3 linked regions of the Struthio camelus genome follow. The main gene of each other region encodes a partner of the protein of the gene in region 2 in a complex. Links are inferred from orthologs where the notes say so. Each region holds a gene or a part of one and is shown on either strand. Other genes may lie near its edges.

Region 1 (7,527 bases), on a different chromosome or scaffold from region 2:
TGCTGCATGGTAGCTCGAATATTCACTGGCATCGGCTGTTTGTTCTTCAGCATGTTAGTAAAGCTTCAAGGTCGAATAAAATGGGTGTTTAAATAAAGCTTTATTACACACATTTATTGGCATTTCATGGTTCTCAAGATTGGATCTCCAGATCCCATGAACCTTATGTAAAGAGTGGTACTTAGGTCACGTCATATGTGAGTTACGTATTCCTTGTTTTCCACAAATGTGCAAGAACTGGAAACTTAGAAATGATGTTGTGTATTAATTCAGAAGTGGTAAAGGTTTAGTTTACCGATTTTAGAAATGGAAGAAGGAATGAAAACAAGCAATAAGCAGAGATGACCATGACAGATGGAAGAGGACATTGCACAGAAGTAGAAAAGCCAACTGAAATCTGACTGCAAAAGCCAAAATAACCTCACGGAGTTGAGAAAATTCTCTAAAGACTCAACCCCAGAAGACAGCTTTATAAAAGACTTTGCCCTGAGAACAGACTGGTATGCCTCCAGCACACCACAGAAACGGTGCCACAAGAAACACCACCATCTGAGTGTAGTCATTTATAGAAAACGGTTTATCTAGCACTTTCCTTGACGCATGAGGAACCTTCTGCCTTTAAGAGCTATATGGCCTAGAACATACAACAAGATGGTAAGCTTCCTTAGCAGCAACCCATCAGCTTTCTACTGTGTCCTAGGAGTTACCAGGACAGCAAAATAAAGCACTACAGAATGAGTAGTATGGACTGACCAAACAGCAACAGGCCAGCAAGCATTCACTGCACCTCACTATTCCTCTTCTCCAGGAGGCAAGCCAAGCACTGGTTCAGACTAAGTCTCGCTGCAGCACTTGCTGGAACAGGAACTGCATACAAATGGTTCATTTCTCCCTGGCCTAATGCTATTAACGTGGTTAATCCAAGAGCGATTAGCGAGAAGGTGAAACATAACTGAAGCATTGCTGTTAGTTGTCACTGCAGAACCACAAAAGCGTAATGGCATGGAAAAGCAGGAGGATATTCAGCAGAAGAAATAAAGAACTCAGCACCAAGAAAAGAGAGAGATGGAGATGGAGCAAAGCATTTGCCTCTTACAAGGCCCAAAACGTTGTTAAAGGGCCTTTGGGCTTGTTTAATGGCCTGCTGCCTGCCTCTTACAGGCCAGACCACATGCACGTGTGTCTGCCTTGGACAAAGCAGCAAGCCTACTGCAGCTTAGGTAACATGCTACCATGCTGCAGTGTCAACTATATAAATGTAAAAACATGTGGAAGAAAAAGGGAGGGTGCGAGGTTTCTCTTTTTTGTCATAACACATCCCACCATACTTATGTGTTGAATAGTTTAATTTTAACTGCTACGGATAAATTTCTCCAGAATAATTGCCCTTTTAACCTTGTGTACCACATTTGTTGCAGTTTAAGACAGAGGTGCATAGCCATCTGCTTGTTATAGCGAGGTTAAAACAGGGCAGAAACCACGTTGGTTTTTGGAAACCAGACAGTGATAATTAAGTAAAAAATTTCTTATGAGCTGAAGCTGCTGTTGGCTTCCTCACCGCTCGTTCAGAGACATCTTGGTGGTGCTCTTTAGCACAACCTTCGGTGCTGACTGTGCAGCCATCTTCAGATCAAGAGAATCTGCAAAACATGAGAGCCTGATTTAAAAAACAGCAGGAGAACTCGCGTTTACGTGGTTAAACATTCAGAAACCTGCATTCCATTCCAGATCCTTTTGTGGAGAGAGCCAAGAACTTGGCAAAAAACACTCTATCTCAAGTTTCCTAGGCCATTGTCATGATGCAGTAAATTTATTAAGCTAGCAAGTTATGCTGGCTCATCCCTTACTAAATAGTCTTCTTTTCAGAAAGGGAAGATTTGCCATTGGTAGGAGTAATGCTGCAGAAACATAGTCCATCAGCAGCCAGGACGGCACCCAAACATCTTGTTTGGTACTGCACCTAGTGACACTTCTACAGCTTCTAAGCAGTTAGTATCAATAAAACAGAAAATGGGGTTTCCATCTTAGAGAGGCATACCACACACTCGGTAATACCAAAAAAAAAAAACCCACACACCCCAAAGCTTATTCAAAGACTGCTTTTTCCTACAGAAGACCTACATACTTTCAAAATATTAAGGTCACATTCCCTCTTACTACCCTAGGATTGCCACAGCTGGGCTGCACAGGGGTAACCTATATATGTTTGCGCAGTTACTTCAGCTTTCGAGTATGTGATACTCTAACAGGCAGCTCACCAGCACTCACAATGCGGCTCTCTAATATGAAACCTCATCACATTGCTCATGAGAGCAGCTAAAGGGATTTAAACCCAGCTGTTATTATCTTTGGATCACAGCTCAGGCCTGAGAGCAGTGATGACTACAACTTGAAACGCTAAGGAACACAGCTCAGCCCGCTAACCGTTCGGATCAGTGCCTCATTTTTATGATTAATAACGTATCTAGCGCTTAGGTGACTGGCAAAAGCACTTATCCTCAAGCTACTAGCAACAAATAAGATTTTTACGATGTTCTACAGCCCGCTCAGCTAGAAACGGAGCTAATAATCCGCTGCAGCACTTCCCCCACACCGGGGAGGGGGGGAAAGGTGGTTTCAAAACAGCCTTTTTCCCCCTGCCCACGCAAACTGCACAGAGCAGCTGGCGGGGAACGGCGCTGACAGGAACCCACCGAGCGCCGGGCCCGGGGAGCAGGGCGAGGCCTGGCCCCGCCGGCCCGGCCCAGCCCCGCCCGAGGCGCCTCGCGAGGCCGCCGGGGCCGAGCCCAGGGCAAAGCACCGCACTGACCCCGCAGGCGGCGGGCCCCCACCGCCTGAGGCCACCCCGCGCCTCCCCTCAGCGCCCCCCGCCCCCGGCCAGGCCCGGCGGCTCTCACCGAAGCAGACGGTCGCCAGGTCTCCGGTGGGGGCTGGCCGGACAGCTGACGGGTGGGGTGCGGGGCTCAGCTCCGATCCCCTCCGCCCGCTCCCGCCGCGCTCGAGAGCCAGCGACAAAATGGCGGCAACGACCGCGGCACCTTCCCTCCCTCCCCCAGCAGCCGCGCCGAGCCGGGCAAAATGGCGGCGGCGGGCGGGCAGGGCGGGCAGGGCGCAGGCGCCAAGCGCCGCGCGTGACCACGCCCCCTGCCGGCCGAGCGGGGGTCCGGAGGCGCATGGGGGCGTGGCCTAGGGGAGGGGGCGTGGCCCCGACGGCGGGGCGAGGCCTCCGGGGCGGGGCGTGGACGGGGAGGGGCGGGGCCTCGACGGGGCGGGGCGGGGCCTCGACGGCGGGGCGGGGGGGCGCGGGCGGCGGCGGCGGTGCGCGGTGCTGCGCGGTGCTGCGCGGCCGCCGCCCGCTCCGTCGAGGCTGGATGCCGCTTCCACAGCCCCCCGCGCCCGCAGCACGTGTGGGGCGGGTGTCCCGGCCCGCGCCCCTGCCTCCTCCGCCCCTGGGGGGGGAACAGACCCCGCCGTCGGGCAGAGGGGGTCCCTCAGGGATGTCTGTGCGCACCCTCGGGTCGCCCACGAGCAGGACACAGCTCCGGCCGGCCAGCGCCGCCGCTGCCCCTTGCTTTCTGCTGGGTGCAGCGGGGCGCCGCGCGCCGGCCCCGCCGAGACCCCAGGGGCCGGAGCGGGAGGCCCGGGCCGTGCCGGAGGGGGCGTTCGGGGAGCGCTCCCGCCGGAGCCGCCAAGCCCGGCAGGCGATGGCGCTGCCGGCCCTGCGTGGGGCCCGCCGGGAGGAGGCGGGAACCGGTTCCTCGAGCCCCGTGGGGCGCAGCGCCGCTCGCCTCCGCCGCGACGGCCGGCCGGTCCCGCCCCGCATCCCCGCGCCCCCCCACCCCGGTGCCCGCCATCCACGGCGACCAAGGAGGTGACAGCACGCCGCCGGCTGGGTCGCTGCCTTTATTGCGGAGCCGGATGCCGGCGGGATGCCCCGGGGGGCGAGGGGGGGGCGGGGGGCTCCGCGTTTCGGGGAGGGGGGCCGGCCCGGCTCAGGCGTTCTCCCAGAAGAAGGTGTTGCAGGCCACGGTGAGGGCGGCCACCAGCACCACGTACTCCTGGAAATCCACCTCGCCGTCGCCGTTCTCGTCCAGGTCCTGCATGATCTTCTCCACGGCGCCCGCGTCCTTCTGCGTCTGCGGAGGAAGGGGCAGAGGGCGAGCGCCGGGGCTCGGCAGCCCCCCCGGGCCCGCGCCCGGGTGGCCCCCGGTGCCCGCGCCGGCCCCTACCTCCAGGAAGCAGCCCAGCTCGCTCTGCAGCAGCTCCTTCAGCTCCCTCTTGCTCAGCTTGTACTTGTCGCCCTCCTTGCCCGAGTAGTGGTGGAAGACGTTGATGAGCGTCTCCATGGCCCCCTCCAGCTGCGACGCCATGGCTCCGAATGCGCCCGGCCGCGGCCGCCCGGGCCCGTTAAATAAGCTCCAAGCCCCCTCCCTCCGGGAGGATCCGACACCGCGGCTGGCCGGCCGGCCTGGCACCGCCGGCACGGAGCTGGCGCGGGGGCCAGCCGGCGCGCGGGGCGCCCGCTCCGGCCCCGGCGGCGTTCGCGCCCCGCCGAGGGGGCGTTCCCGGCCCGGCATCCCCCCCCCTTCCCTCCCACCCTGCTTGCACCCCGTGCCCCAAACGGGACGAGCCGGGCGCTGGCGGGAGCGAGGTGCCGGCTGCCGGACGGGGGGAGCCACGGGGGTCGGCTCCCGGGTGGGCGCTGGGGGCCAGAGCCCCCGTCCGTCGGCCCCCCTCGGCCCTCGGCCCCGGCAGCCGGGCCGCCCCGGCCCCGCGGGGTATCCGGTGTCCTCGGAGCCGGGTGGGGGGCCCGGCGGTGGCTATCGGGTGACGCAGCCCCGGCCCCTCGGGGCCGCCCGGCCCCCCCCCGGGCGCAGAAAGGCCTCTTGTTCGATGCAAAAAAAAGAACAAAAGCCCGACTCTCCCGGCGGGGAAGGCTGCTGCGGCCGAGAAACCGGATTCCCGGCTGGCATCAGCGAGGCCGATAATCCCGGCTCTCGTTACGGGCCGGCGGCCGGGTGGCGCGCCGGGGACCGTCCCCGCCGCGGCCTTTCCCGCGCCCCGGCGCGGGAACGGCCCCGGGGGGGGGCACCCGAGCCCCGGGGCACCCCAGGGTGCCGGGCGGCGCTGCCCGTGCCGGGGCCCTGGGCTTTTCGCAAGAGCCGGGTGGTGCCGGGGAATCTTTATCCCAGATTCCAGTCCTCGTTGGGAGCTAATTATATCCTGCTCTCCTCTCCGGCTCGCCTCCCGTTTCCACCGGGCGCGCGCTGCCCTCCGGCCCCCCCGTCCCGTCCCCGCCGTTGTGCAACGCGGCCCGGACCCCGCGCGGCCGGGCGCCCTCTTCCCAAACCGGGAGCCGGGCCGGCGGGCTGGCGCACCCCTCCCAACCGCTTCCAGCTTCCGACTCCCCTGCTCCAACCGGTCGCTCCGGTTGCTGGTGCCGGGGCTGGGCCCCATCTCGCCGCCCCGGCCCACGGCTGGCGGGCGGACGAGGCTCGCGGGGAGCCGGCAGCCCTTTCCCGACGGATCGGCGCGCGGCGGGCTCGGGGGGAACGGCCCCCGGGATGCTCCGCGCCGGCCCCGGGATGCTCCGCTCCGCCGCGGCGCTCCTCCCGGCACCTGCTCCCGCTCGGCCCCCCAAATTCCAGGGCTGGCCCCAAATTCCTGGGGCCGGTGACTCAGCCCAACCCGTCCCGACTCACCCCGGCGCTTCCCGCCGCCCATCCCCGGCCCCTGGCGCGGGGCTCGGCGGAAGTCCCGCTCCGGCCCGGCCCCACGGGGCTGCACGAAACCAATTCCTGCCCCGTGAGCTGGGGCCGCGGACCGCCACGCCGCAAGCGCGCGCGCGGGTGGAGTGAGCGCGTCAGGGCTCAGCGGCACCGGCCCGGTGATGCCCAGGGTCGGATCCCCAAAACGCCCCGTGGGAAAACCGGCTCCCCTGGGAAACCCCAGCCAACCTGGCAGCCCGCCCGGCTTTCCCGACCGATGCCGCCCCGGCGCACCCCGGCCCCCTCCCGGCCCCCTCCCGCTGGCCCCCGCGGGAACGGCCCCGCCGCAGCGGGCACCTGCTCCGGCTCCTGCGCCAGGTGGAAACCGGCCAGGCCGACCGCGTTAAAAATACACCATGATTAAACGCTGGGGCAATTCCCACCCCCTAATTAATTGGGATTAATTAATTTCTACAAAGACCACTATTAATAGGGATGATGTCAGTGGGCAGCTGAGTCACCACTCTCACTCACTGCGGGTCGAGCCCGTCCGGGTCTCGGGGTGCCCCGGGCCGCGGCGCTGCCTTCGCCCCCCCGCCGCGGCCCGCTCCGCGTCGGCGCTGAGCCCGGGCTGCGCTCGGCGCACGTGTGGTTTCACACCCCCACGAAAAACATGCTGGCCTTCGGCTGGTCGCCCCGCCGCGGCCCCGACCCCGGCCCCGACCCCAGCCCGGGCGGGGAGGGAGGAGACCGGGGGACGGCCGTGCGTCCGGCCGCGCGTCCGGCCGCCGCGGGAAACGCCGCGGGAAACGCCACGGGAAACCCTACACCGCGGGCCGGGGACAAAGCGCCGCGCTCTGCCCCGTAAAGCCTCGCCGGGGGCCGCGAGCGGGGTAAGTAGGGACCCCTGTCCCGGCGGGACCCCCCGGCCCCTTCCCGCCACCCCCGGATGGCTCCGGCGCGGGGCGGGCCGGCGGAGCCCCTCACCGAAGCGTTCGGTCCTGAGGGTCTGCGTAGCCCCCCCCCCCCCCCCCCCAGCCCCGGCTAGCATCCTGCTCAGCCCCGCGGAGCCGGCAGGAGCTGGGCTGAGGCCTTGCAGACTCACTGCACCCGGGGCGGGAGGGGTGTCACGAAGCCGCCCTGCACCGGGGCCAGGGCAGAGGGCCCCGGCGGCCACCGAGACGCGCCAGCGGGCAGGAGCGACGAAGTGGGGGGGGGTCACATCACCGGGCCTCCCCGGCGCCCGGGCACGGCTTCGTCGGCCGGCGGGGGGCTCGGGCGTCCCGCCGGCCGCCGCGGGAATCGCCCCGGCTGAGCTGCGCTCCCCGGCCCCGGCGCCCGCCGAACCGCCCGCCGTTCCCACGCGCCGCGCCGGGCTCGGCGGGCAGCAGCGGCCGCGGCCAGGCGGGAGGCGTTTCCCGGCCCCACGCTGGCCCCGGGCCAGGCTCCGAAACGCGCCCCGGCGGCTCCCGCTCGCACCTCCCCGCCGTATAAAACGGCGGCGGCGCGACGCGGCCCCCGCACAGCCCGGCCGGCCCGCCGAGCAGGTAAGCGGCCCCCCCACCCCGCCGCCCCGCGCCGGGCTCCCGCCGGCCCCCCGGGGTGGGGTCGCCCGCTCCCGGCGCCCCCGCCGCCTCGCTCCTGGCCGGGACCTGTCCCGGCTCCGGGACGCGTCCCGGCAGCTCGCCGCATCCCTCCCCGAAAACTCCCGCCGGGGGCCGAGCGCTCAGGCTGGTTTTCTCCCCTCCGCCGGCGCCCAGGACCCCGCGGATCCGTCGGAGAAGGCACCCGCCGCCGAGCAGCTCCCCACCGGCCAGCA
Region 2 (7,824 bases):
ACTGCTTAGGTTCTAATTACGCTGCCTTACTAACCCACATAACGACGCTAAGGATATGCGAAAAAAAACCCTTATCCTCCAGTTTTTGGACAATAAGGTCTTATGCTGACATAATGATCACATGAGCAAAACTCAAGTTGGTATTTTTCATAATACTTCAAAAAAATAGATAAATCGTTATTTTAAAAGTGACTTCATTACTGGATTTAAAACTTCACTGTGTGTTGTTTTGTTTGATAAACAAGCAGTTTTTTCTCTTAAAGAATTGCAACTCCTACAGATTACAGCAACATTACAAATCCTACATGCTTTAGGACATAGGCTGATCATCACCCTACTACACAAGATCACGTAAGAAAACATAGATCATCTTAAGCACTCATTATTAACCACAGCGGAAGTTGAAGTGTTAGATAAAGACACTACCATTTACTTCTCTCAATACAGCAATCTTCACGTTCCCTAATACATAAAATTAGGTTTTATTTAGGTAACTACTAACTCTCAAAATACAATCTTGGGCTGATCTGATCAGATCCCATAAGTCATTTTATATACCAGTAAATAGGTATTTTCCCATATAACCTAATCTTTTCTTTCTACTTACAATAAGTTTTCTTCTGCAATCTTTGACTTTCAGTGAAGTTTGGTATTTGACTCTCGGTGACTAAGCCTACCAGTTTTAAAAACAGATATCCATACAAGAGGGAATGGATGACTTTGTGCATTGGCTTTATTAGAGCAGGCCTCCATATAGAAAATGAAATTCCAAGTTTTTTTGCAAAGCCCGTATTTGCTACAACTCTCCGTTTTGTCCATTTATGGCCTTCTCCTCCCCACCATGCCTTTTGCAGAATACCCGATTTATATTTTGGGGAGATTCGTAGATAATTCAAAGAAAAACATGAAATACTGCTTTTGTTCCTTCTTTAATTGTTACGAATATTTAAAAAATAGCACTCTTCCTTTTGGAAAGCAAATCAACTGGAAACGCCACATACATAGGAACTTAACCTATCATTTTGTTTTATTGGCCCCACAGCAAACTAGAATATTTTCCTCCCAGTCACATTTAAGAAATACTGCCTTAGGGGGAGAGGAGAATCATAAAAGGCTTTATCATGATCAAAAATTAAGCTAACTTGCCCTTCTTCCCACAGCAAAGTTCTGAGAACTCAAAAAACGCAGCAACCATTACACGGTCAATTGTGAAACTTCTCTCCACGTGCAAGTTTCATACAAACTCAGTAATCATGCAAGTTACAAAAGTTGTAAGCATATATGACTTCTTTGGGCAAAAATGGTTTAAGTATCACAACAGGAAAAAAAAATAGCAACATTTTATGTAAAAAGACAATATTTTATATTTTATTATTGCCACTTGTGCATTTTCAAAAGGTATCAATTAGTATATATTTGTACATTTTAGTCTTTGTTATTCATATAGAAGTTTCTAAAGTAAGTTCATTAAAAAGGCCTCAGTGCTTATCACAAACATTGCTCAGTTGGATACAAATTCAGCTATTGCCATATAATCTTAAGCAGAAGGAGATTAAAAAAAGCAATGTGAGCCTCATCTTTGTTTGTGGGCTCCTGAATACTTTATCATTGTCATAAATGTAGTTACAGTACACCTCTTCCTTGGCCTTTTATTATTCATAATATATACCAAAACATGTAACCTGATGTGCTAACACGATTATTGCTTTAGGACCGTTCAAGGACAATAACAACATGGCCAAAAAAAGCAGGGGGGGGGGGGGGGACTTTTCACTATAAAAATGGAGGTAGAACTTTTTTTTTTTTTCAGTAGGGAGCCTCTATGTTTCCTATTCTGTACCTCACTACCTTTTCTTTTCTTCCATGCACAGAGATTACCACAGCTGCACAATCTTTTAATATATAGGAACAAAAAGAAATAATAAAGGAAAGACTATTAAAAAGTCTTACTCATAAAATGATTCCCAAATATCTTTATTTCAAACTTTTTGTTACAATAAAAAGCACAAGCGAATGGAAAATTAATATGAGAAATTTTTTTCAAATATATAGATAGGAAACTGGGCACCCACATCCAAGCTAACACATTAATTTAAATTTGAGAAACTGGTAGATAACCTCCCGAAACATAACACATAGCACATTCAGTCCGCCTGCTAGCTTAGAAATTGCTCAAGACAGAAATATTCAAGACCCTGAACGGTAAAGTCCCTACCACACCTGGATGGATTTGGGAAGCTAAGAGGAGACCCTTTAGAGCACAAACATTGCCCTGCAGGATAAGTGGGGAGGACTAGCTGATCCTACCTAGCCCGGATCAAAGCAGACAGCGCTAAACACCTCGGAGAGGAGAAAGCAGGGACAGGGGTCGAGACCTCGACCGAAAAGGTCAACTTTGAGAAGCCAGCGAGGCAAGGAAACATCAGGCTCCATCTTACCTCCACGGGCCCGGCTGAGCAGAAGGCACCCGACACCCGATAAACCCGACCCAGAGGCAGGAAGGGGGCGCTCGGGCCCGGGCAACGGCAGCCAGAAGAACTAGGCCTAGCTGGCAGCGACGGGGCCGAGTTTCGGCGGAGATCGTTAGGGAGCGACAAAAGCGGCCGAGGTGGACGGAAAGGCGGTCTGGGCCCACCGCCCGACCAGGGTTTCGCCTCTACGGCCCGACGACGAGGGCACAGCGAGTTGCGTCCTCCCCGCCCGCTCCCACCTCCTCACCCCCTCACCCAGCCTCCCGCGCCGGCCTCCCTCCCGCCCTCCTCCGTCGAGACCCCGCACTCACAACTCGCTCTTGCCCGCTTTCTCCCAGTTCTTTATCCACTCGGCAGGGAGCGCCGCCGCCGTCGCCATCTTCCCCGTGTGGCGCCGAGAGCCCGGATGGGGGAGCGACGGGCTCGGGTCAGAGGGGACGGAGCGGCCCGCGAGGCATGACGGGACGCGGGCCCGCGGCACCCTGGGAGACGGCGCGCGCCGTTCCATGGCCCGCCCCTCCCCCTCCCCCCGCGCGGCCGCCGCCTCAACCGCCGCCGCCGCCACCGCCCCCTAAATACCGCGGCGGCGGCGTCCCCGGTGTACCCTCCTCGCTCCCTTCTAAAGCCGAGCCGCTAGCAGCGCTCCGAGCCGCAGGCCGACCCGCTACCGCCCAGCTTTAGCTCCACCCAGGAACTGTCTGCGGGCGGTGCCGCGCTGCCTTGATGCCGAGCGAGTGGCCCCAAGCACACGCCACACACCGGCCCCAGCGCCCGCCCGCCCGTCGGGAGAGTGACGCTCTCCCGCGCGCGCCCGCCTCGCCTCGCCTCGCCTCGCCTCTGCGCGGCGGTAACCGACTCCCGGCTGCCCCGCACCCAACGCGCAGGTTAAAACCTGCGCGTGTTCGAGGAACCTCCTCAGGTAATTTAAATTTATAACGGGCTGCGCAGCAAACAGTCAGCCCTCCGACTGGGTTATGACCTCACTGTGCGGCTCTCGGTCCACACATCTGTAACAATAGTGCGAATTCGAGTATTTTTTTTTAACCGGCCGAGGCGGGAAACACACCAAGTGAGATCGTTTGAGCATGTTAAACGTGTTTTATGCAAATGTGACACGGTATGTAATCTGTATTCCAAGCTCATTGAAGAACAGTTGTAACAGTTCTTTTACTTTTCAAATCTTAGCCTCGGAATTCAGATTCCAGATGCGTTATTTGCAAGCAGTAAGAATTTTTCTTCAAAAAAAAATTTAGATTCTAGAACAGGAATAAAGCTACTAACTGCTCCCACTTTGCTTTGCATCTCTGTTCACCGCCCAGAAAACATTCCTGACCCTTTAGTTGTGCACAACCTGTGGGTTGGTGTCAGTGCTTTCCAGAAGGAAGGAGACAGTACATGAGAGTGACAGTAACTAACACGGAGTACAAGTAGGTTATACGCTTATGTCTATTGATCCGCTCCTCCAGTAAAGCTAGATTGAAAACATATCACCACTTCTGGGATGTGGCCTTCCTCGTAAGAAACTTCTTCCTCTAATTCACAGGGACTCAAAGCGAAACATTATGTGAGCAGCGCATAGCTTTGTGTAGGTGTGTTGCACAAGTGAAAAAAGGGGAGTTAGACTAACTGACCCTCTGAGAGCTGATGCACAAAAGTAAAGGAAAGCATTTAAAGGAAAGGATTTAAGGAAAATAGACTTAAAATTTAGGTATGACTTTTCAGAGCCTAGTGCACCTGAAGGTTATGTGCCACTCAACTAGTATTTCAGGGTATTTTGCTTGCTTTTAAAATTCAGTGTATTTGGAAAGTCTTCGTGGAATCAGTGTGTCTGTGTGAGTGTGCACATGTCTTCAGTTGTTGTAAATATGTGGAGCTTCAAAACATTATAATCCTATAATCACTCAAAATTCAGAGACCCTTGTCCATGTTGATGAGCTCTCCCCACATCCTTTGTGAACCATGCTGCAAGATGAAGAGGGTTTTTCTTCCAAAATAAAAAGCAGATTTTCTTCCTCTTTTGGCACAACATTTCTACCAATAAATGATCAAAACAAATTTTCAATAACAATTTGGATAATATTGTGAAGACTAAAATAATTTTCATTACTCCCTGACAAGTCAGGGCAAATTATTTTAATAGATTATGTTATTGACTAAATTCATTAAGTTAGTAAATATGGTAAATTATTTTAATAATTTTTTTAAGTGTTATGTGAAAATGATTGTGAAAAATCGAAACTGCTTCTTAGTGTATATTACCCTTCCTCTGGCATTCCTACCACAGTCACACTAACGTAACATCTTTCTAAGGTAATTTTTGTATGAAATAAGATACAACAGTGAACCCCAAACCTGCAAGTACACACTTCCCTAATTGATTATAGGGCATCAATTTAAGCATATATTTTAATCATGTGGTTTGAGCTAGTGAGGTCATTATTTACAGTAGCAACAACATACCATTTAAGAAGTGAAATGTACTATTTAAGTGTTTTGCACTCTGCCACCGCTTTCCACAGAAGTATTTTGTATTTATTCTGTTATGGCCTTCAATGGAATTCAAAATATCAGTGATATATTGTACTATGTTTGAAACTTGATCTTTTTTCACTTGGTGTGTCCTCTTAATTACAGATGTAAAAATGTAAACAGCTGTATGGATGTTCTCCTCTGATGATCATCCCCAATACATGTGCCCGTCTCACTGTGTGTTATTCTTCTCTGCAAGTTTCTCAAAGCCGTTCTTAATTTATTTTGATTGTTAATTGGGATATGTGAGTTAAGAAATATTTAATTTGCTCAGGCAGCACACATGGTTAGTCTTCCATAAATTCCTCTTACCTGTCAGTTGTAAAGTCTTTATTTTGTCTGCCTTCTCAGTCTTGTACATGGTTCTATTGGGATATAAATCATTTCATGAACGTGATAAAACTGAAGAACAGCTGCACGTTGAATTTGAGCTGCACATTTGCAAATGTGAAGTTTTAATTTCATGATGAGGATGAAAGGAGGTTAGTGAGGAAATACAGAAGAATAAAGCAGTCTAGTCACTGCAGCAACAGAAAGGTTAAATCCCAAGTTTATTCAAGGAAACTAAACTACTTATTTTGTGAAGTATAATGCTAACACTGGAACAAGCTGAATATGAAGGTAGCCATTACATGCAATATAAATATTCATGCGACAGAAACAATTTGAAAATATAATTGAGTATATTACAGTAATAACTAATATTCTATAAAATCTGTGAAAAGCATGTACTTACACTTGCTGATATGTTTCTTGCTGGAAGATAATCACTTTAATATCAAGATTACCTTATTATATGTATGCGAAAAGTCATTTCAGGTCAATATAGCAACTTCATGTTTATTTTCATTATAACACTGGGATGTTTGTCTTCATATGATAATGAAAACACTGCAGCAACAGTTTCACAACTATACATTGCAAAACTCCAGCTTTTCTTTTAGTTGGAGTTTGTAATTTGACAAGGAGAAAGCTAACAGAAACAAATTAAAATATTGTGAACCCAAATATGTGCTCACACAATTGAATTAGGTTTTCAGTTAGGTATACAAATGATCCAGATATAGAGATTACTTAACTGTTCAATGTTGCATAGTCTTGCAAAATACTGACTGCTTCTGCAAATACTTAGCTCTCTCTACCATCATTGACAGCAATTTCTCTAGAAATAGTCTGTCTTCTCTCTTGGCCAGAGCTAATTAACTTATTTTTAAAGAACATTGTGTTCTCTCTCTCTCTCTCTCTCTCTCTCTCTCTCTCACACACACACACACACACACACACACGTATATTTAAATGTTTACTTCATACAGTGCCAATTTACTTACATTTTTACTAGCTTAAAGTCTGTGGATTTTTGTAGCTTTGGCCTGTGGGTCTGGGCCTCCTACAGTAGTAGGTTGCCATGTAGCCCTAATTAATGAGTGGCATTGTATACTGTTTACAGTTTAACTAGTGATCATGATAGTTAATAATATGAGGGCAGACTTTCAAAGATATTAAAGATGCAACTGGGCCCATAAAAAGATTTTACAAAAGTAGGTTAGATGCCTGGCTCCCATGGGTTTCAATGGGTCTGTTACAATTACCCCATTTAGATACGTTTACCTAGCAGGCACCTGCCTACATCTTTAAACCTACAAATATATTTGGAGTGCTGAATCTTAGACTATATACAGTTAAAGTATAATTAAAGTGTGATATAGCTTCGTAGTTTTAGGATGAGAGTTTTATGTGGTTTCATGGCTTCTAGAGCTTCACAATGAGAATGTCACTGAAACGAATTTTAGAAAAGCTAGAAGAGTGTTTTACATCAACCATTCAACAGTGATTCAGTGAAAGTGTGTCATTATTGTAAGAATTGGGCTATTAATTAAATGGTTCATTAATACTTAAATACTTATGGAATAATTAGACCTGAGATTAAATTACAATAAATGATTATCAAACAATTTTACCAAATCAGCATTGCTGTATTTACTATATTGTCTGTATATTTTATTTATACTAACTAAATGATATAATTAAATTGTGATGAGTGGTACAACTTTTACAGTAAAGGAAACATATTAGCTATGAGTGCTGATATATGGGAGTTCTTTTGTGTGGTAAATACTTTGTCAGTTATTTACAATCCATTTAGAGCTTATTCTTGTGAAAATTTATGCTGATGAGTAATTTTACCTGCTGAGACTTGCACAGACTAGACATGAGTTAAGTTTTTCCCTTATATAAAGGTTTGCAAAGTCAAGTCCTTATGCATTACGTTTCATTTTGTATGTAATAGTATTGATTTGTAGCTCAAAATTATTTATACTTTTCAACACATTGTAATTCTCAATTCCAAATTATTCTTTTCGGGTTGTTAATAAAAGGAATTTGGACTATTAAATAATTATAGGTAGTGTATTATTAAACACTTTCCTTGTAAGTCCACAGGAAGTGAAATCTTTTTCCGGAAATGATTATCAAATGGAGGACTACATATTTCCAATTTCACCTTTAGAACTACATCATCCAAAAAGGAATGGAGAGCATGTATAAAAGTATGACTCCAAATATACTTGTGTTTTAGAGAGATATTTATTCCGGACTCAGTCTGTTTTCCATTGTTTCCATTAATTTTACTGATGCTGTTGTATTTTTCCAGTGTAAGATAGATATGAGACAATAAACAGATATAGATCTTTATAAGGGACCTCAGAGAAGCTTTCCAACGCTTGGCTAAAATATATTTTAGGTGGGCATTATGTTTACAGGGTTGAGAGATTTTTGTAGCTTAGTTTTTATTACTGATATGAATTAGCACAATTCAGTATACTCT
Region 3 (7,873 bases), on a different chromosome or scaffold from region 2:
TCAACTAAAATGATCAGCACATACTTTTAAGAGATTCCCATCTCTTAAAAATATCTCTCGTAACTGGTTTAGAGGTATTTTATAAGGATACTTATGGTTTTGATGGGTGTGTGACTGGCATGGCCATCTTTGTACATGTGTAGGCCGCATATTTTCTATTAAAAGCTGGAGGAACGTACTCACGCGATTCTCAGCGCTAGGAGTAAGCCTGTTTAATTCTTTTGTCTTGCTGTTATAGTGTGCTTTAGTACTAAAGTCACCTCAATTGTCATATGAGCCTTGCTGGATTTTTCCTTGGCCTGAAAACATCTTCTTGAACTACTGTTTAGGTTTTCCTGTTGCTGCACCTCACTGAGATCTATTGGTTCAATCTTGTCTGCCTCATCAACCAAAAACTTTCAGTAGTTTAACTTTACTTCAGCAGTTTTGAATGAAGATAGTATAATTGAGCATTATGTGCCTTACAGTAACAATTAGGTATTAAATCATTTGAGTTTTAATGTAAGGTTTTCTGAAGAAAGGGTGGGGGGAGTGACCACATTTTCACCCTGAAAGTAGAGTTTCTGAAGTAAGTGTATGAAGAAGAATTCTCCAAAAGCATAAGTTTCCAAAGTGAAATGATGGCAATATACATACACACTGTTCTATTACTGGATAAGGGAATTCACAGAGTGCATGTGAAACCCACCAGAACAAATATAATATTCACAAAACCAGCATTTTCCCTTGTACACTCAGAGATTTGGAAACTATTTTCTAATACAATATATTTTAAAAGGTAACAAAATAAGCAAACTGCTCAGTGAAAATACAGATATTGCTCCTTACCCTGGCGATTTTTTCGAATCCTTTTTGCTTGCAGGATTTGCTTTTTGCATTCAGAAATCTTCTCGTGTGCTGCAGCTATACTATTTTCTTTAATAAAAAGAATACAGAATTATACTGAAATCAAACAATACATGTCAACAAACCAATCTGCTGCACTACAAAAAGGCAAAGAGCCATTTGTGACATGGTGGCTTCTTAGCTCCATCAGCTTCAAAATTACACATACTTCAATGGGTTTAAAAAAAACTTTACTTGCATGTATTTTAGATACTGACAAGATGCTTAGAGCTTTTGTATCAGTGTTATCTTAAAAAAAATAAATCTTTCATCATATTCATATATTAGTTTCACCAGCACTGGCTCAAGCTTCCTCACACTAGAGAAATAGTCCAACAGAAAACAGTAATATCTGTTACCTATATCTTTGTAGATTTTTTCATAATTCTCCATTTCTCGCAGGTTCATATCATACACGAGAAGAGTTTTTCCCATTGAAAATTCACACTGTGATAAAGTACTCAGCATTCGTTGGTACTGGCTGTAACTGAAAGCAGACAAGATAGTTATTCCTAAGCAGCATAAAACAGTCACCTACCTTTATAAAGCAAGAAGCCAAAGCCTGCATGAGTAATTTAAGCAACAGTTAAATAACAGCAATTATTAAACAAATAAAATTCCAAAGACTCAATGTATAATTTTTGAAAGTGCAGTTAGAAACACTGCACCAACTAGTTCTATCACCATGCCCTTAAAGGTGCAAAGTGAGTATTAAAGCTATGGGCAGATTGATCCAGGGATTATAAACTTCCCAACTGGGGCAGGCTCTGCGCTCACCGAGATTAGTATTTTAATACTGTAGCACTCCTCTGTATATACGGCGACTTCCTGGAATTTATATCCAACAGTAGCAGAGACCTCACAATACAATACTACACTGTTGGTCAACTTTTACAACTCTGACCTGTTTTAAAAAGAAAAAAATGCAGCAGAAGACTAACGTTATTGTCCTTACCTAACAGGACAAACGCAGAACTGCCAGCTAAAACATTCAAGTCATGATCCTGTTACAGCACCGGGACTCTTGGGCCCGGATCACGAAGCAGCACTGGCGCTCAGTCATTTCTGAGCCGTCTCCTGCCCTGATGCTCGCTGTTTGTGCTGGGAGCACCGCAGAGCCACACTGACACGCACGGGTGCACATCTTAACAGAAGCGACTCCCCCCTCCACACACCCCCCCAAAACCCCAAGTTTATTCCAATTTCCATTTAAATGTACGCTGTTATTTCCCAAGACTGAAAACAGAAATACCCTTCCTCCTGGGATCCGGAGTTGCACCATTTAATGAAACTCTTCACCAGGAGGTTGATCCGCCTGTCATCACCCGCGCCATCGCCGTCGATGAGGAGCCGCTTACGGATCACTTCGTCTGGGGCGGGAAAAGGGGCCGTTTTTAACCGCCGGGCGGGAGGGCGGCGGGGTCCCGGCAGCCGGGGCCGGGCCTGCCTCCTGCCGCTGAACCAGGGCCGTCCGGGCGCTTTTCATTTACAAAGCGGGTGTTTTTGAGCGGGGGGGGGGGACGGAGCGGGGGCACATGGCGGGACAACGCCGCGGGTGGGCGAGCGCGGAGGGCCCGAGGCCGCCGTGAGGGGCCGGGAGCGGCGAGAGGGGCCGGGGGGCGGCGTGAGGGGCGCCACGATGGAGGGCCCGAGGCCGCCGTGAGGGGCCGGGAGCGGCGAGAGGGGCCGGGGCCGCCGTGAGGGGCCGGGGGGCGGCGTGAGGGGCGCCAGGATGGAGGGCCCGAGGCCGTCGTGAGGGGCCGGGAGCGGCGAGAGGGCCCGAGGCCACCGTGAGGGGCCGGGGGGCGGCGTGAGGGGCCGGGAGCGGCGAGAGGGCCGGGGGGCGGCGAGAGAACGAGGGCCGCGGGCCCGGGGATGGTGGCCGGTGCCGGCAGAGCGGCTCCCGCGCCTGGGGAGCGGCGCGGCGCGGCGGGCCCGGCCCCGGCCGAGGCGGCGCGGGGAGCGGGCCGGGGGACGGCGGGCAGCGGGCGGGCGGGAGGGAGGGAGGTCTCACCGTCGGTCACGGCCCCCATGGCGGCGAGCGGCGGAGCCGGCGGGGCGGCGGCAGCAGCGAGTGAGGTCAGCTTCCCACAATGCAGCCGGCGAGAGCGGCGGCCATGGAGGGGGAGGCGGCGGCGGCGGCGGCTGGGGCCTGAGCCGGCTGGCGGCGGACGCGCGGCCCGGCGGCGGCGGCGGAGGCGGCGGCGGCGGCGGCGGGGAGGGCCGGCGGGCGAGGCTCGCGCCCCGCGCGGAACCGGCCCCCTGGCGAGGGGCGGCCCCGCCAGGTGAGGGGCCGACGGGGGAGGGCAGCGGAGGTCCCCGCGCTCGCAGCCAGGCTCCTCCTCCCCGCCACCGCGCCCCCGGCCCCGCCGCCGCCGCCGCCCCCCGCCCGGCCCGGCCCGCCATGCCCGCGGCACATGCTCGCCCTCGCCCTCGAGGCGGCCCCGGCGGCGGCCACCCTCGCCTCGCCCGGCCTCGCCGCCCCGTCGGCCCCCGGCCCTGCTGCTCTGCTGCTGCCGCCGCTCCCCCGGGCTGGCGGCTCCCGCCCGGCCTCGGCCCCTCGAGGGCGGCGCTGGGCAGGGGGGCAGCCGTCGTGCCCGGCCTTGGACCGTTGAGGGCGTCACTGGGGAGGGGGGCAGCCGCCGTGCCCGGCCTCGGCCCCTCGAGGGCGGCGCTGGGGACGGGGGCAGCCGTCGTGCCCGGCCTTGGACCGTTGAGGGCGTCACTGGGGAGGGGGGCAGCCGCCGTGCCCGGCCTCGGCCCCTCGAGGGCGGCGCTGGGGAGGGGGGCAGCCGTCGTGCCCGGCCTTGGACCGTTGAGGGCGTCACTGGGGAGGGGGGCAGCCGTCGTGCCCGGCCTTGGACCGTTGAGGGCGTCACTGGGGAGGGGGACAGCCGCCGTGCCCGGCCTTGGACCGTTGAGGGCGTCACTGGGCAGGGGGACGGTGGGTATGCCCAGCCTTGGCCTCTCGAGGGTGGCCCTGGAGACAGGGACGGTGGCTGTGCCCGGCCTCGGCCTCTCCAGGGTGGCGTTGGGGAAGGGGACAGCAGGGATGGGGACAGCAACAGCTGGCAGCAGCCTGGTGCTTCCAGCAGAGCGGAGGCAGCATGTGGGGGCTGCGGCTCAGTGCTGGCCCCGTGCCGCGGTGGCTGTCCCACGCTGCGGCCACAGAGGCTAGGCCCTGGCAAAAACGACCGTCCTAATTGCCTTATTGGGGAGTTAGGCTATTAACAGCCCATAGTAGTAAGAGTTATTTCTTCCTTCCCTGAAAAATTAACCAAAACTGGCACTGGAAAAAAGGGATAGGGGTGTCTGGAGAAAAGAGATACTAAGGTGTTATTGGTATCAAGTGTTGAGTTTTAGCTTTTTGAACCGCAGGCTTTGACACCTAGGCAGTGCTGAAGTTGGCAACATTACTGTAACATATGTCATACTATAGTCATGATACGTGAGACGTCTGCACACCGTGGTACTCCCCCTTCGTTTTGGCTTGGACGCTAAGTAGTTTATTGACTTGTTCTGCTCCAAACATTTATTTTCCTGTCTCGGTCAGTGCTTTGTTTTGACAGTTTTAGGGATGTTTGGAAAATCAGTGTAGGAAAAGGACAAAGTCTGTGCACGCTATAATCTGTAGTTTGCTGGTTTAAGGCTGTGAGCCATCACAAGGTTCTTTTTGTTCTGGATAGTGGCATTTAACAGGTATTTACATACTGCTAGGTTGTTTGAAGCCAGTACTTTGTCTTCAGTAGTGACAACTGTCAGGGTCTCTGCAAGGTGCTACTGAGAAAGCATTACACCCCCTGAAGTTTAGAGAGTGAAGAATTTCCAGTATAGAAAATCTGGAGAGGTAACTTCTGGTCTTGAAATTTCCGTATATTATTATGTGATTTGTGAGTGACCTAGTTTATGTGATGATCTAACTCTTCACTTGATTAAACAAAGTTTGGGCCCAATAATACTCTAAAGCCCCGAGTTCATGAGCTATGTACGTGTCATAAAAATGTCTTTCTTCTGAATTCTGAATTTCTTGCCTTTTAATATACTTGTTTTGACAAAAATCTTTGCTTTTTCTGAGGCATCGATCACTATGATATAGCCCTAGCGTTCTGGCAGAGGAGAAGAAGAATGTCTAACTGAACTTCTCTGCATGTATTTTATACAGTGTGGTTTGCTGCTGCCTTTCCCTTTTTACCCATTGATTACCTCTCTGAACTACTATCTTCAGCGTCTTGAAGCATCACTGTCTGACCTAGACTTAATATTTTTGTTGCCCTTCTTTTAGCTCTTTCCATTTCCACTTTGGAGGTGAGCTGATCAGAACTGAAAATCCACGATTATTTATATCATCGCATTCTAATACTTTTATGTTACGATCTGTCATTTAATCCAACATAACCTTTCTTGATTTTTTTTGTTCCTCATTCTAGTGTCGGTCAGATACCCTTATGAAACTCTCCACAATGACAAATAGATATTTCTTGAGTAATTAATTCAGAACACAGCAGTCCATATGATTAGTTAATCATCTTTAATGACTTTTATGCCATTCTCATCTTCTTATGTGTCACTGATTACAAAATTCTTACTAATTCAAGAACATGCTTTCTGTGTCTGGGTCTTAGGCTCATAACAGCAATTTAGAGAACAAATCCATTGTTTTCCCTTTTTAAGGCAGGGCAGATTCTGTGAGCTACAGTCTGTTATATAAACTTCAGTTAACTGGCAAAGATACTAAGTAATATTGGGCCATCCTTCAGGAATCAGTATTCAAAAGTCAACTGAGATTCATGCAATAGGAAAAAATGTTCTTACACAGGGCAGAGCACCTTTCTCTTCACCAGCTCTTTTGGAATAAGTACCTGTGTGTGCAGGCTTTCAACCAAGTTAAACATGAGGTAGTTCTCCCTCTTGCTTTAAATTCCCTTGTGGATGCCATATGGTAAAATCTGGAAACAGCTTATACATAATAATTTATTGCACACCTGTCCTTGTCAAAAGTGTGAAATGATGCCCTGTAATGTTCCCAGGTGACTCTGGTTACAAGACGTATGGGCTGGGTAAGTTTAGTACTTACTGCAAGGTGTTACACGTGTGTGCAACTGGTTCAGATTTTTCATCTGTATCCTTTTTTTACTGGAAAATGGCTTTTAAGTGTCCAGATATTTTTAATGGGATGTGTTAATGTTGAAATTTTCTTTTATGAAAAAAACAGTGAATTTTTTTAAGTTAATTTGACTTTATACCTCCTCCCCTTTTCTTTAACTATATAGATATAATCTTTTTTTTTCCCCAATTGCAGAAAAAGTGAAAGGGGAAGAAGCTTTTTATAATTTTAAAAGCTATAATATGCTATGATTTTTAGAGCTAAGGAAACAACCTTAACTATTGATGAGGTGGATTTAAAATATTTTTCCTAAGCCACACTAATAATTTATGAGGTGGTTTTAGATTCCAGGTTTTCTTCGTGTTGAATAACTTCTAAATCAAACTGTTGTGTGGCACTAAATCTTACAGAGATCTAGCTATAGTAGGTCACACATTACAAGATATTTTTATCCAGTCTAACCTATATTCTTGTCAGAAAACCATACCAAATTTATTTAGTGAGACCTATTTTCTGTAAACCTATGTTAAGCATTACTTTTTATCATCATCTTTTATTTCTTTGTTGAATGTATTCCCTGATTTTGCCCAACGTTGATGTCACACTAAGCAATCAGTGTTTCCTCATTTTAAATAACGTTAGAGCGCGTAGCCTCTTTAGCCTCGGTATTTACTAGAAACTAGCGTCAGTGTTTCAAGAGCTTGTCAGCTAGTTCTTAGGCATGGGCTATGTAGTTCTGCACGTTTTAAAGGGCTTACTTTGGGCAGATATAACTGAAATGTTTCAATTCAGTGATTGGGGGAAAAAGTAGTAGGTTGGTCGGTTGGTTTTTTTAACATACAGCATGGTTCTTAGTCTTGTAAAAAGCTTTCCTACCATGCACCCTTGTGTTTCTGCAGAGCTAGCACATTTCCATGGAATTAGAACGTGACAAGAGAAGGCAGGGTGAAAATACTTGCTGTGATTGTAGTGATAATAATAATAATTTTTAAAAACCCCACACTTTATTATCCAAACAGTAATCATTTTTGCTATCTACTGCCTGTGTTACCAAGACTGATTACATGTATTCTAATACTGTACTTTAAAAACCAGTCTTTTATCAGGTAATGATGTAATCACAAGTTGTGGGCTACAGGATTGTTTTTTATGTCTTATTTTTCAAGCGGTTACTGAAAGACGCCTGTCAAATACCATATTTTTTTGACTGAAACACTTTGCAGAATTGAAGTCCTGGAAGTGTTCTGGTTTGTTTCAGTTTTTGTAAGAAAGATATTTCATTACTACTACTACTTCTTTTTTCGTGAAGGCATATTCAGGGAGACAAAAGCTTATCTTAGCAATTTTTTGAAAAAATAGTGCTGTAATCTTTTTAAATCACTTTTTCTTAAGTAAGGGCCCTGTCTCTTGATTAATCTAGATTATACTGATGGCATTTGGATATTGCCCTTTTTCTGATATCTTCACGGGAATTATATAACAGCCTGCAACGTACCATAAGATCAATTTATTATGCGTTTTAAGGTGAGCCGTTGCTACTTCATTAAAGCTTGTCAAGCTAAAGTTGAAATTATATGGTGCTGGAAGTTGAGCTATTCAGTGCAGCGACCTGGGCTTGCAGCTGAAGGGGTGCCCTCAGCTGATGAAAGCGCCCCTTGCACACGTATCAAAAGATGCTTTAATTGAGATAGCAGAAGAATCAAAAGTTAGAAATGGTACACCAGTTGGTGATACCTGTTATCCATAACTTAGTAGGTCCCTACTTGTTAAGAAAGTCAACGTGTTTTAACAAACGTTTCCCGAAAGTCAGAGTCATGAGACTGCTACAAGATACATCAGAGGGTTAGATTTTTTGTTTTATCTAAAAGTTGTTAACGCCATAGA

Evidence for each region.
Region 1: THOC2 (region 2) and CHTOP share a complex: the UniProt entries of both Homo sapiens proteins name them as parts of the transcription/export (TREX) complex. The link is inferred for Struthio camelus from reciprocal best matches to the Homo sapiens genes THOC2 and CHTOP.
Region 3: THOC2 (region 2) and THOC7 share a complex: the UniProt entries of both Homo sapiens proteins name them as parts of the transcription/export (TREX) complex. The link is inferred for Struthio camelus from reciprocal best matches to the Homo sapiens genes THOC2 and THOC7.

The regions. Positions count from the first base shown.
Region 1 is NC_090971.1:4,711,009-4,718,535, forward strand, and holds the start of CHTOP (chromatin target of PRMT1 protein), read right to left. Parts: upstream 3,089-7,527; 5' UTR 2,898-3,088; intron 1,641-2,897; 5' UTR 1,624-1,640; coding exon 1,559-1,623; intron 64-1,558; coding exon 1-63. Other genes in the region: S100A1 (protein S100-A1), read right to left, coding at 3,993-4,136, 4,230-4,370. UniProt on the Homo sapiens protein: Plays an important role in the ligand-dependent activation of estrogen receptor target genes. May play a role in the silencing of fetal globin genes.
Region 2 is NC_090952.1:11,068,880-11,076,703, reverse strand, and holds the start of THOC2 (THO complex subunit 2), read right to left. Parts: upstream 3,010-7,824; 5' UTR 2,980-3,009; coding exon 2,783-2,979; intron 1-2,782. UniProt on the Homo sapiens protein: Component of the THO subcomplex of the TREX complex which is thought to couple mRNA transcription, processing and nuclear export, and which specifically associates with spliced mRNA and not with unspliced pre-mRNA.
Region 3 is NC_090955.1:12,526,754-12,534,626, forward strand, and holds the start of THOC7 (THO complex subunit 7 homolog), read right to left. Parts: upstream 3,089-7,873; 5' UTR 2,919-3,088; coding exon 2,900-2,918; intron 2,256-2,899; coding exon 2,138-2,255; intron 1,373-2,137; coding exon 1,245-1,372; intron 916-1,244; coding exon 829-915; intron 1-828. UniProt on the Homo sapiens protein: Component of the THO subcomplex of the TREX complex which is thought to couple mRNA transcription, processing and nuclear export, and which specifically associates with spliced mRNA and not with unspliced pre-mRNA.